Linked DNA regions of Rattus norvegicus. The protein of the gene in region 1 purifies or fractionates together with the protein of each later gene. This does not show direct contact. Links are inferred from orthologs where the notes say so. Each region holds a gene or a part of one and is shown on either strand. Other genes may lie near its edges.

Region 1 (4,218 bases):
GATTCAATGACTGCTATTTCCATCACCATAATTTAATATGCAAACATCTTAATCCCAGTTTCCAATGACTGACTTCAGGCTCACAACAGCTATAACTAAGATACAACAAGTATCACTCACTCTCACAGTCATTTTGGTGGTTTTTGAGAAACATCTAATTTGCCTTCTTTGTGTCCCCATAACAATGAAGAAATGAAGGAGATTTTTGAAAATTTTCTCTCCAAAAATGTAGCAGTCCACTGTGGCTATTAACCACTTGAAATGTGGCTAATCAAACTGAGGCAATATATTTTGCATTCTGCTTAATTGATTAAAATTTAGAAATAGTAAATTCAGTTACTGGAAAACTTTTATGTATGTTTGGAACAACTTGAATATGTGAACCTACTTTTTTGCATATGCAAATTTTATGAGACCTAAATACAGATCAAGTACTTCTGGTAAAAATTTAGCTTGGCGTCAAAATTGAGATGTTCGGTTAGTATAAAACACACACTGCATTTCAATGGCTTAGTAGGAAAAGATGTACAGTATGGCAAAAATGTTCAAGCTGAGATCACTATATATATATATATATATATATATATATATGCATATATATCACATAAATATTTTACTAAAATTCCACCTTTTTGTTCGACATCTTTCTAAAGTGGCTACTAGAAAATGATAAATTACACGTGGCTCTCATTAAATAGCTTTGAACAGCGCTGCTCTGGGCACATCCACAAAGACTGGAGGAGACACATTTGGACATCCTCCTCCTAACAGATAGGCTGGTCACTGAACAATGGGGCAAGGAGCATTTGAGTCTAAGAAAAGAGTGTAGCAAGCTCTACCCACAATTTCTCCATGTGTAATGCCTCAATATGGAGGAAAAAAATGAGTTACCCGTACTCAAAAAATTGAAACTGAGTATACTGCAGACAACTTAAAGAGGTAAATGCAACCGCTCTGTCTTGCTTTCATTTCCCAAGTGTGGACCTTAAAATAGACAATAAAGCACCGCTTCCAAAATGAAGTAAAATATTCTAATACTAGCTATCTAATGAGCCCCAGTAAATAAGCAAAAATCGCTCTTAAATCTTATCTCAACTTCCAAAGCCAGAGAATACACGCTGAGCTAGGAAATCAACTTCAGATTGCCAGCATTTCCCTCACAAGCAAATTAGCAGGATTGTGCACTTGGAATATTGTTTGACAAGAATGAAAAGGAAACAATTCAAAACAGATTTCAGGACTGGACAATTAGATGAGGAACTGCAGATTTAATTCTCAATCAGCACTGTGATTAATCTGATTCCCTGCTTTTCCCTAGAGTAATTATACAACACAGACGAAAGGATGAGCATTTGGACTGTCAGTTCTATATTCTAGACCAGCCCGGTGACTCAAAGCAGACGGCTGTACCACGCTAACCACCATCCCAACAACAGTGGAAGGGAGCCTCGAGCACTGATTGTACAGTCATTGCATAACGAGACATTAAAATTTTGGGTGCCCCTAACTCTTTCTATGTTCGTCTATGGCAGATGAAGAATTTGCTGAAACTGGACGCATCCGTCTTCAATGACCCTCTTAAATACGGGCATGGGGTGAACACAAAGGCATCTGTCTAATATCCTGGCACAATAGACACACACCCCACAATTAAAAACCCCGGACGCGCTCTCTCGCCCTCTCCACACAAGCACACGAAATGCAGACTGCTCTTTTTGGAAAAGGTCTATGGTACAGGAAAGGTAACAATAACCCCAACTGTTCCCAGGAAGCAACTATAAAATCGGTCCTGCCACGTCCCTGTCTAACCGTCAGATAAAATGCAGGCAGCCCGCCCCACGCCTTATGGGGTGGCCGACCGGGACTCGGTGGCCTCCACGGATCGCTGAGAAGCCCCCAGACTCCCTCCTGGCAGGAGATCCAGGTACACGTCTATAAATACTCCAGGGTGAAGAGGACAAGGGAGACAGAGGGGAGGGAGAGAGGGCAGGGGGCAGGCCCGGAGCGGGTGCGGGAGGCCCCGGGCATCGCTGAAAAGCATTTTTCCACACTCCCGCTCCCTCGCGTGGAGACTCACTTGCCGATCACCTCGCACAGCTCGTACACATCCTCGAACAGCACGTCGTCGTCGGCCATGGTCCGGAGGGGACAGCGGCCGCAGCGTGGAGGGTTCTGAAAACTGGGTTGGGGGCGCCCAAGAGCTCAGTGCCCGGCTCCGGGCTCGTGTCCTCCCCTCAGGACCCGCAAGCCCTCGGTGCTGAGGAAGCTCGACCGGGGCCGCGAGGCCCGGAGACTGCAGCGCCTTTCCTCTGCCGGCTGCCGCCCCGGCGCGGGCGGCGGGGCCGGGGCGTGGGAGCGAGGGCGGCCCGGGCCCGGCGCCGCCCGCCCGCCCGCTGCTCCTCGCGCGGTTGCTGGCGGCCGCGCTGCCGGGGCGTGCGGACCCTCGGGGACCGCGAAGCACCGCACTCTCCGCTCGTCAGCCCGCGCGGGCCGCGAGGCCGCGACCGCTCCCTCTGCCCGAAACCGGCTCCGGCGCGGCGCGGGGCAGCTCGGGCTACAGGGGGGGCCGCGACAGCACCATGGAGGGAGGATCGTCGCGAAGGGAGGTGGTGGCGGCTGATCCGCGCTGGGGACCAGGAGGCGGCGGCAGAGACGCTCCCTCCTCCTTCTCTCCTCCTCCCTCCGCCGCCGCCCGCCCGAGTGTGGGAGGGGGCTTCGCGGGATGAGAGTTCAGTGCGGGCGGGAGCCGCGACCGCTGCCTTCAGCTCCTCCCCTCAGCCTCAGCAGCCGCCTGGCTCCTGAGCGCTGTACACCCGCCTCCCGCGGACAAACCCTCCTCCCTTTCGGCCCGCAAGGCAGCGAGACCTGCAGGCCCCGCCCCTCCAGCCCGTTGGGAGGCGGGGACCGCGGAAGGAGGCGGAGGAAGGGAGGGAAAAAAGAGGCGCTCCCAGTGGCGCCTGCGCGCAGCGCCCTCAACGTCACGGAGAACCGGCGGGCGCGGGGAATCTAGAGGGCGCTGGGGGTCGGCAAGCGGAGCTTCCCGGGTTGCGGGTTGCAGCTGCTGAGGTGGGGCTGGTGCAGGTCGTCGCCCCTACTCCCAAGCCGCAACCAAGGGGAGAAGCGACAAAAGGTCCACAGCACTGTGCACGTTCTTGGACGGCGTGCTCAGCACTCTGGCAGCTTTCCCTCTTCTTTCGTAACCCCAGGAAGCCGTTCCCAGGTTTTTGCTGGGGAGAAAAAAAAAAACCCCAACAACTCAGGGAAAGGGTTCTAATGAATGGAAAAGCCAGAGAGGAGGTGGAGAGAGGTTGTCACTCAAGACCGTGTTTGGCGGCGGAGGATGCTTTTAGTGCCACCCTGCCATTCCTTAATGAAGATGAGGGCTGGGGGAGGGGGAAAATTGTCCAAGGAAAGAACCGAACAAAAACTGCAGAGGAAGGTGTACCACAAAAACTAGCGAAACAGCTTCTCCTACTGCCCGCTCCAAACTCACCAAATATCTATGCAGTGTCTATTGCTGCTAGACAAAACCTAGAGACGGACCAGAAAAATAGTGACATAAAGCGACTTTAAATCCATTGAACATTGTTCCCCAGCCCCAGCATCGACTTTGTTTACTCCCTATAAGTGTTGGAGTTCTTCGCATAAAAATGCAACTAGAGGAAAGGGACACACAGGGTCAGCCGCGGAGTAAGGCTGTGGGTGTTGCCGCTGTGCTAGGTTGTATGCAATATGAAGATTCTGTTCAACTGAGCATGTGCAGAATGAGCCAACGCCACCAGACAGGTATATGCCTCAGTTGAAGACCAATAAAAAAGGAAGTCTTTGTTCCTCCGCACAGCAGAAGTGTCCAATTAGTTCATAAGTCAGCTCTCCAGAAATCATCTGTTAAAATTCTCAGCGCGGTATTTTTTAAACTAGTATTTACCAAAGTGCAGGGGGCAGGGTGAAGATTCAGCCTATTTCCCTTTCAAATACAAAACAAAAAACAAAAAACAAACAAACAAACAAAAACGATCTGCACAAACCCTTGGTCCGTCCCTCGAGAGGTTGGGTGATTTGCTTGTTAAATATTTGGGAGCTTAACCTTTTCTTTCTTGCAAATCAGAGGAAATATAATTGCATAAATATGTTTTCCTCCTTTCCCAAAGATTTTGTATTTTCTCTAAAGAAAGGGCTTCAGAGCCCAAAACACTTTGTCTTCTTTCGGGGGTCCAA
Region 2 (4,177 bases), on another chromosome or scaffold:
AAATTTTCTTAAAATTTATTTTGATAAACATTTTGATTCCATTTCTTCGAGTTCAAGGACGTTTCTCAGTTCAAAGATCTTTATCGTGCAGCTTTGGTAAGTACACAAAAATATGAAGAAACACGATAAACATCACCCTTCCTTTCACCACCAAAGCAGAAAGAAGCACAGGCTTTAAACAGTGGCTGCTCACGTGAACTTTGAAAGCATGGAGACTGCCATATGTCTTGCTAACAGAACCAATTCTACAGATCTAACCGACTAAAATCATGTCTTCTCAGGTCGCCTCATTATTCTTACATACCTGGAATTTCACTAAGACAGAGCCAACTTGGCAACCAACATCCAAAAGACGAATGATCATTGGCCCAGGTTCGTTTCTCTCATTCATTTTCTCACTCCACAGATATTTATCATCTACTGTGTGCGTGAACTATCAACATGGCCCCTGCCCTCTTCAAAATTACAATGGGAAGGCAGAATAGATTAAGTATTAATACATAAACATATAAGCATACAGGTGTACGGATTTTGAGTAGTGTAGAAAAGAAAGAGATCAGGTGGTTGGGGAAATAAACAGTAGGGAGTATTCCAACTCCCATTCCAATGGAGTAACAAGCCAGAAGGCCAAGAAATAAGTGTGAAGACTCTAAGGCTGTGCACTTGGCTTGGCTAAATAAAGGTAGTGAGAAAAGACTAGGCTGTAGGGGTAGGCCCACCTCTATCCAGACTACTAATCTCGAATAAGGCTTTATTATGTATTCCTTGTAAGGTATTTTATTCTACACACATTTTCAATTTATATTATACACACTAAATAAATATTTTGTATTTTGTTTACTTTTACTGTGTGACTTGCAAACATACAAGGCCCAAAGATTATGAAATGCAGAGTTACGTTTCGCCTGGCCTTTTAGCCAGTTTTCCTCTTGAGTCCACATTGCAAGCACAGGCAGGAATGAGACCCCGAAGTGAGACGCCGGAGTGAGGTGCAGTTTGAAGACCCGCAAGTGGCCCAGTGAAATGGCACAGCAGCACCAGGTTCCGACTTGGTTCACCCTTCCAATCTCCATAGTTCGGGGATCATTAAGAACCCCTTTCCCTGCTCTCAAGATCATTCCCATGCTGTGTTCTGAGCTGCGACCGCGCCCTGTAGCTGGCCCCTAGGGCGGTCGCCCGCGCTCCTACATTCCAGTACTCCGGTCTGGACACCCAGCTCAGGTGTGCGCGTCCAGTTTGCAAACACTTGGAGCGCTCTCAGGGCAGGCGTAGGCGGGAACTGCAGGGCGCCTCAGTGCGAGCTTCCCCGGCGTGCTGAGGCGGGGCCAAGAGGGGCGGGGCGTAGCGCGGGGGCGGGGCTGGCGCCGCGGGCCTCTGCGAAGTTGGGTTGTGCGCTTGCCTCCGAGTTTTGGTGAGGACTCAGGCCACCCACGGGGACTGGGAGCACTCTTTGGTCCGTGCTCTGGACGCCAGGAAGGGTGAGCGCGCTGGAGACCGCGCACCGGGGGCAGGCTGTACTAGCGCGGGGCGGGCGGCTAGATGGAGACGCGGGGGAGTGTCCCGCGGCAAGCTGTCCCAGCCAGCTGAACTCTTTCCAAGTGTCCTGCAGTGGCGGCGAGCTCTCTAGGTGCCAACCGGCTTGGGGCGCGGGAAGGACTCAGAAGAGACCAGATTCATCTAATCGGTTGCGGCTCGGATCTCAATCCTCGGTCGCGCAGCGTGGCGGGAGGCGCTGTGCCCGAGAAAGGGCGGGTAAGTGAGGCGCTGCCGAGTCCGGCGCGACACCCGTGTGACCGCCGGACTGGACCCCGGCTAGGCTCCCAGACAATACTAGTTGTCCGGAGGCAAAGTTCCTTCCTCTTAGACAACCTGAGAAGCTTTCCTCCTCTTGGGGCCGGCCCAAAGGCCCCGCTATGGACGGCGAAAGCGAGGTGGATTTTTCCAGCAACGGCGTCACCCCTTTGTGGCGGAGACGGTCTACCCCTCCGCTCCAGTTGCTCGGCCGGAGCAAGCCGCGGCCACAGTCGTACCAGAGCCCCAGCGGGCTGCTGATCACTGACTTCCCGGTGGAGGAGCTAGCTGCTCTGCCCGCGCCACAGACTCCGGTCCCTGTACCCGCCGGCCCAGAGGGCAGGACAGTGTCCAGGAGCCCCCAGCTTCTGTGCGCACATCGGAGGCCGGTGACCAATGGTCGCACGGTGTCCCCGGACTACAGAGCTGCTTCTCCTCGACTTCGACGACCCAAGTCACCCCTGGTTTCCTACGCGGCGTCTGGAGGCTCCCCGAAGTCCGCTGTTAATGGCACGGTGTCCTCGCCCGCGGCGCTGTTGTCGCGCGCCTCGCGGACTCCGGACATCCCAGCCTCTAGCGCCCCGGGTGAGGACCGCACCAGGGTGACTGCCAGTAAGGTATCTTCACCCACTGCGAATGGCCTTGCCCCGAAAACCGACTCATCTGGCCCAGTATCACAAACTGGTCAGTCTGCTGGGGACTTGGAGCCGTCCCCCTCGAGACTCTCTCCTGCCCCCCAGCACAGGTCTTCAGAACAAAAACTGCCCCTCCAAAGGCTGCCCTCCCAAGGGAATGAGCTACCGAACCCTTCCGTGATTTTGAGTACCAACAGCCCGGCGGCCCTCAAGATGGGAAAGCAGCAGATTATCCCCAAAAGCCTTGCCTCCGAAATTAAACTGAGTAAATCCAACAGTCAGAATGTAGAGCCCCACAGGAGGCTTCTCAAGGTGCGCAGCATGGTGGAGGGACTGGGAGCACCCCTGGGCCCCGAAGGGGAGGAAAGCGAAGCCGACAACGACATAGACAGCCCGGGCTCCCTTCGGCGAGGCTTGCGGTCCACATCTTACCGAAGGGCAGTGGTCAGCGGTTTTGATTTTGACAGTCCCACCAGCTCAAAGAAGAAGAACAGAATGTCCCAGCCTGTCCTGAAGGCGGTAATGGAAGACAAGGAGAAGTTCTCTAGCTTGGGAAGGATAAAGGTAAGACTGGGCTGGCTCACGTGCCATTCATTAAATCCAATGTGAACGTGTTGGGGAAATTTTTTGAATGCCCATAGCACATGAAATCATGGAACAGTGCATTGCCTTGTTTTTTTCAGTAACCATGCCCCATATTTGTGCTTTATTATTAACTATCATTATAATTATCATTATCATTATTATTATTTACAAACTAATAGCTTAGAATCTGTATGAAAGTGAGAGATATTGTAACCTAATATGGGCCTAGCAGTTGGCCTTACTAAATATTTTTTTTACAATGTGACCTAAAGGAAAAGGGCCAGCCAGAGAGGGATGTTTGGAGTATGTGCCACCTTCTTAGAAACACGAGAGATCTAAGCAAGAGGGCAGTCACATTTTTTTTTTTTGATTAATCAGACAACCGGCACCAGTCTATAGAAATGTCACACATGTAATACACAAGCAAGCCTGTTTTAGTTTAGACATACAGTCTTAAAGGGAAGACATTACATAACATTTTATGTGCCCCTCCCCCAGCTGTCAGGGGGAGCAAAGTTCAGTTTAACAGTGAGAGTGAATCACAGAGACGTGAGCAGGACCGCTGGTCGTTCGAGGATTCTTTCTCTAGTTTAACGGGATGTGGGGACGCTCTACACTTTATTTTATTGTTGCGGTTTATTGCCATGGGGATTCTCTGCCATGTGCTTTTGGAAATCTGAAGGAAATAACAAAAAGGAACTTTTAACTTAAAATAGCTGTACTTGGCTTATTCATACACAGTTTGCTTTTCTCTCCTTTTTTTTTTTTTGTCTCTTAGAAAAAAATGCTGAAAGGACAAGGAACATTTGATGGAGAAGGTAAGCATTGAATTTTCCAGACTTTTATTGCAGCTTCAATATGGTACATCAATTAAAATTTGAAACCTGACTGCAGTAACAAAGACACTTGAGATGACAAAAACAAGAATGCCTAACTTAGTCTTGGATTATCCAGTACGAAGCTGTGTTCACCATGCCAACTTTGTTTATCCATGGGGGGGGGGTGTTGTTTATAAGCTGGTAACTTTTTCAGTTGACATCTTGAAAGCTTTCTTTTTTCCTTTTTTTTTTTTTTTTTTTTTTTTTAGCTTGGCTCCATCCCCACCTGCCTCACTACGTGGGGGTGGAGCCCTAGCTCCTCACTCAGGCTCTTTGAGCCTGAAGCTT

The links. Proteins that work in one complex are often made in the same cells at the same time.
Region 2: the proteins of Cask (region 1) and Arhgef26 purify together in Homo sapiens (affinity purification with mass spectrometry; 3 studies listed by BioGRID and IntAct, with this or other methods). This does not show direct contact. The link is inferred for Rattus norvegicus from reciprocal best matches to the Homo sapiens genes CASK and ARHGEF26.

What each region holds. Positions count from the first base shown.
Region 1 is NC_086039.1:11,570,911-11,575,128, reverse strand, and holds the start of Cask (peripheral plasma membrane protein CASK), read right to left. Parts: upstream 2,801-4,218; 5' UTR 2,137-2,800; coding exon 2,078-2,136; intron 1-2,077. UniProt on the Homo sapiens protein: Multidomain scaffolding Mg(2+)-independent protein kinase that catalyzes the phosphotransfer from ATP to proteins such as NRXN1, and plays a role in synaptic transmembrane protein anchoring and ion channel trafficking.
Region 2 is NC_086020.1:148,888,046-148,892,222, forward strand, and holds the start of Arhgef26 (Rho guanine nucleotide exchange factor 26), read left to right. Parts: upstream 1-1,377; 5' UTR 1,378-1,913; coding exon 1,914-2,990; intron 2,991-3,789; coding exon 3,790-3,829; intron 3,830-4,177. UniProt on the Homo sapiens protein: Activates RhoG GTPase by promoting the exchange of GDP by GTP. Required for the formation of membrane ruffles during macropinocytosis. Required for the formation of cup-like structures during trans-endothelial migration of leukocytes.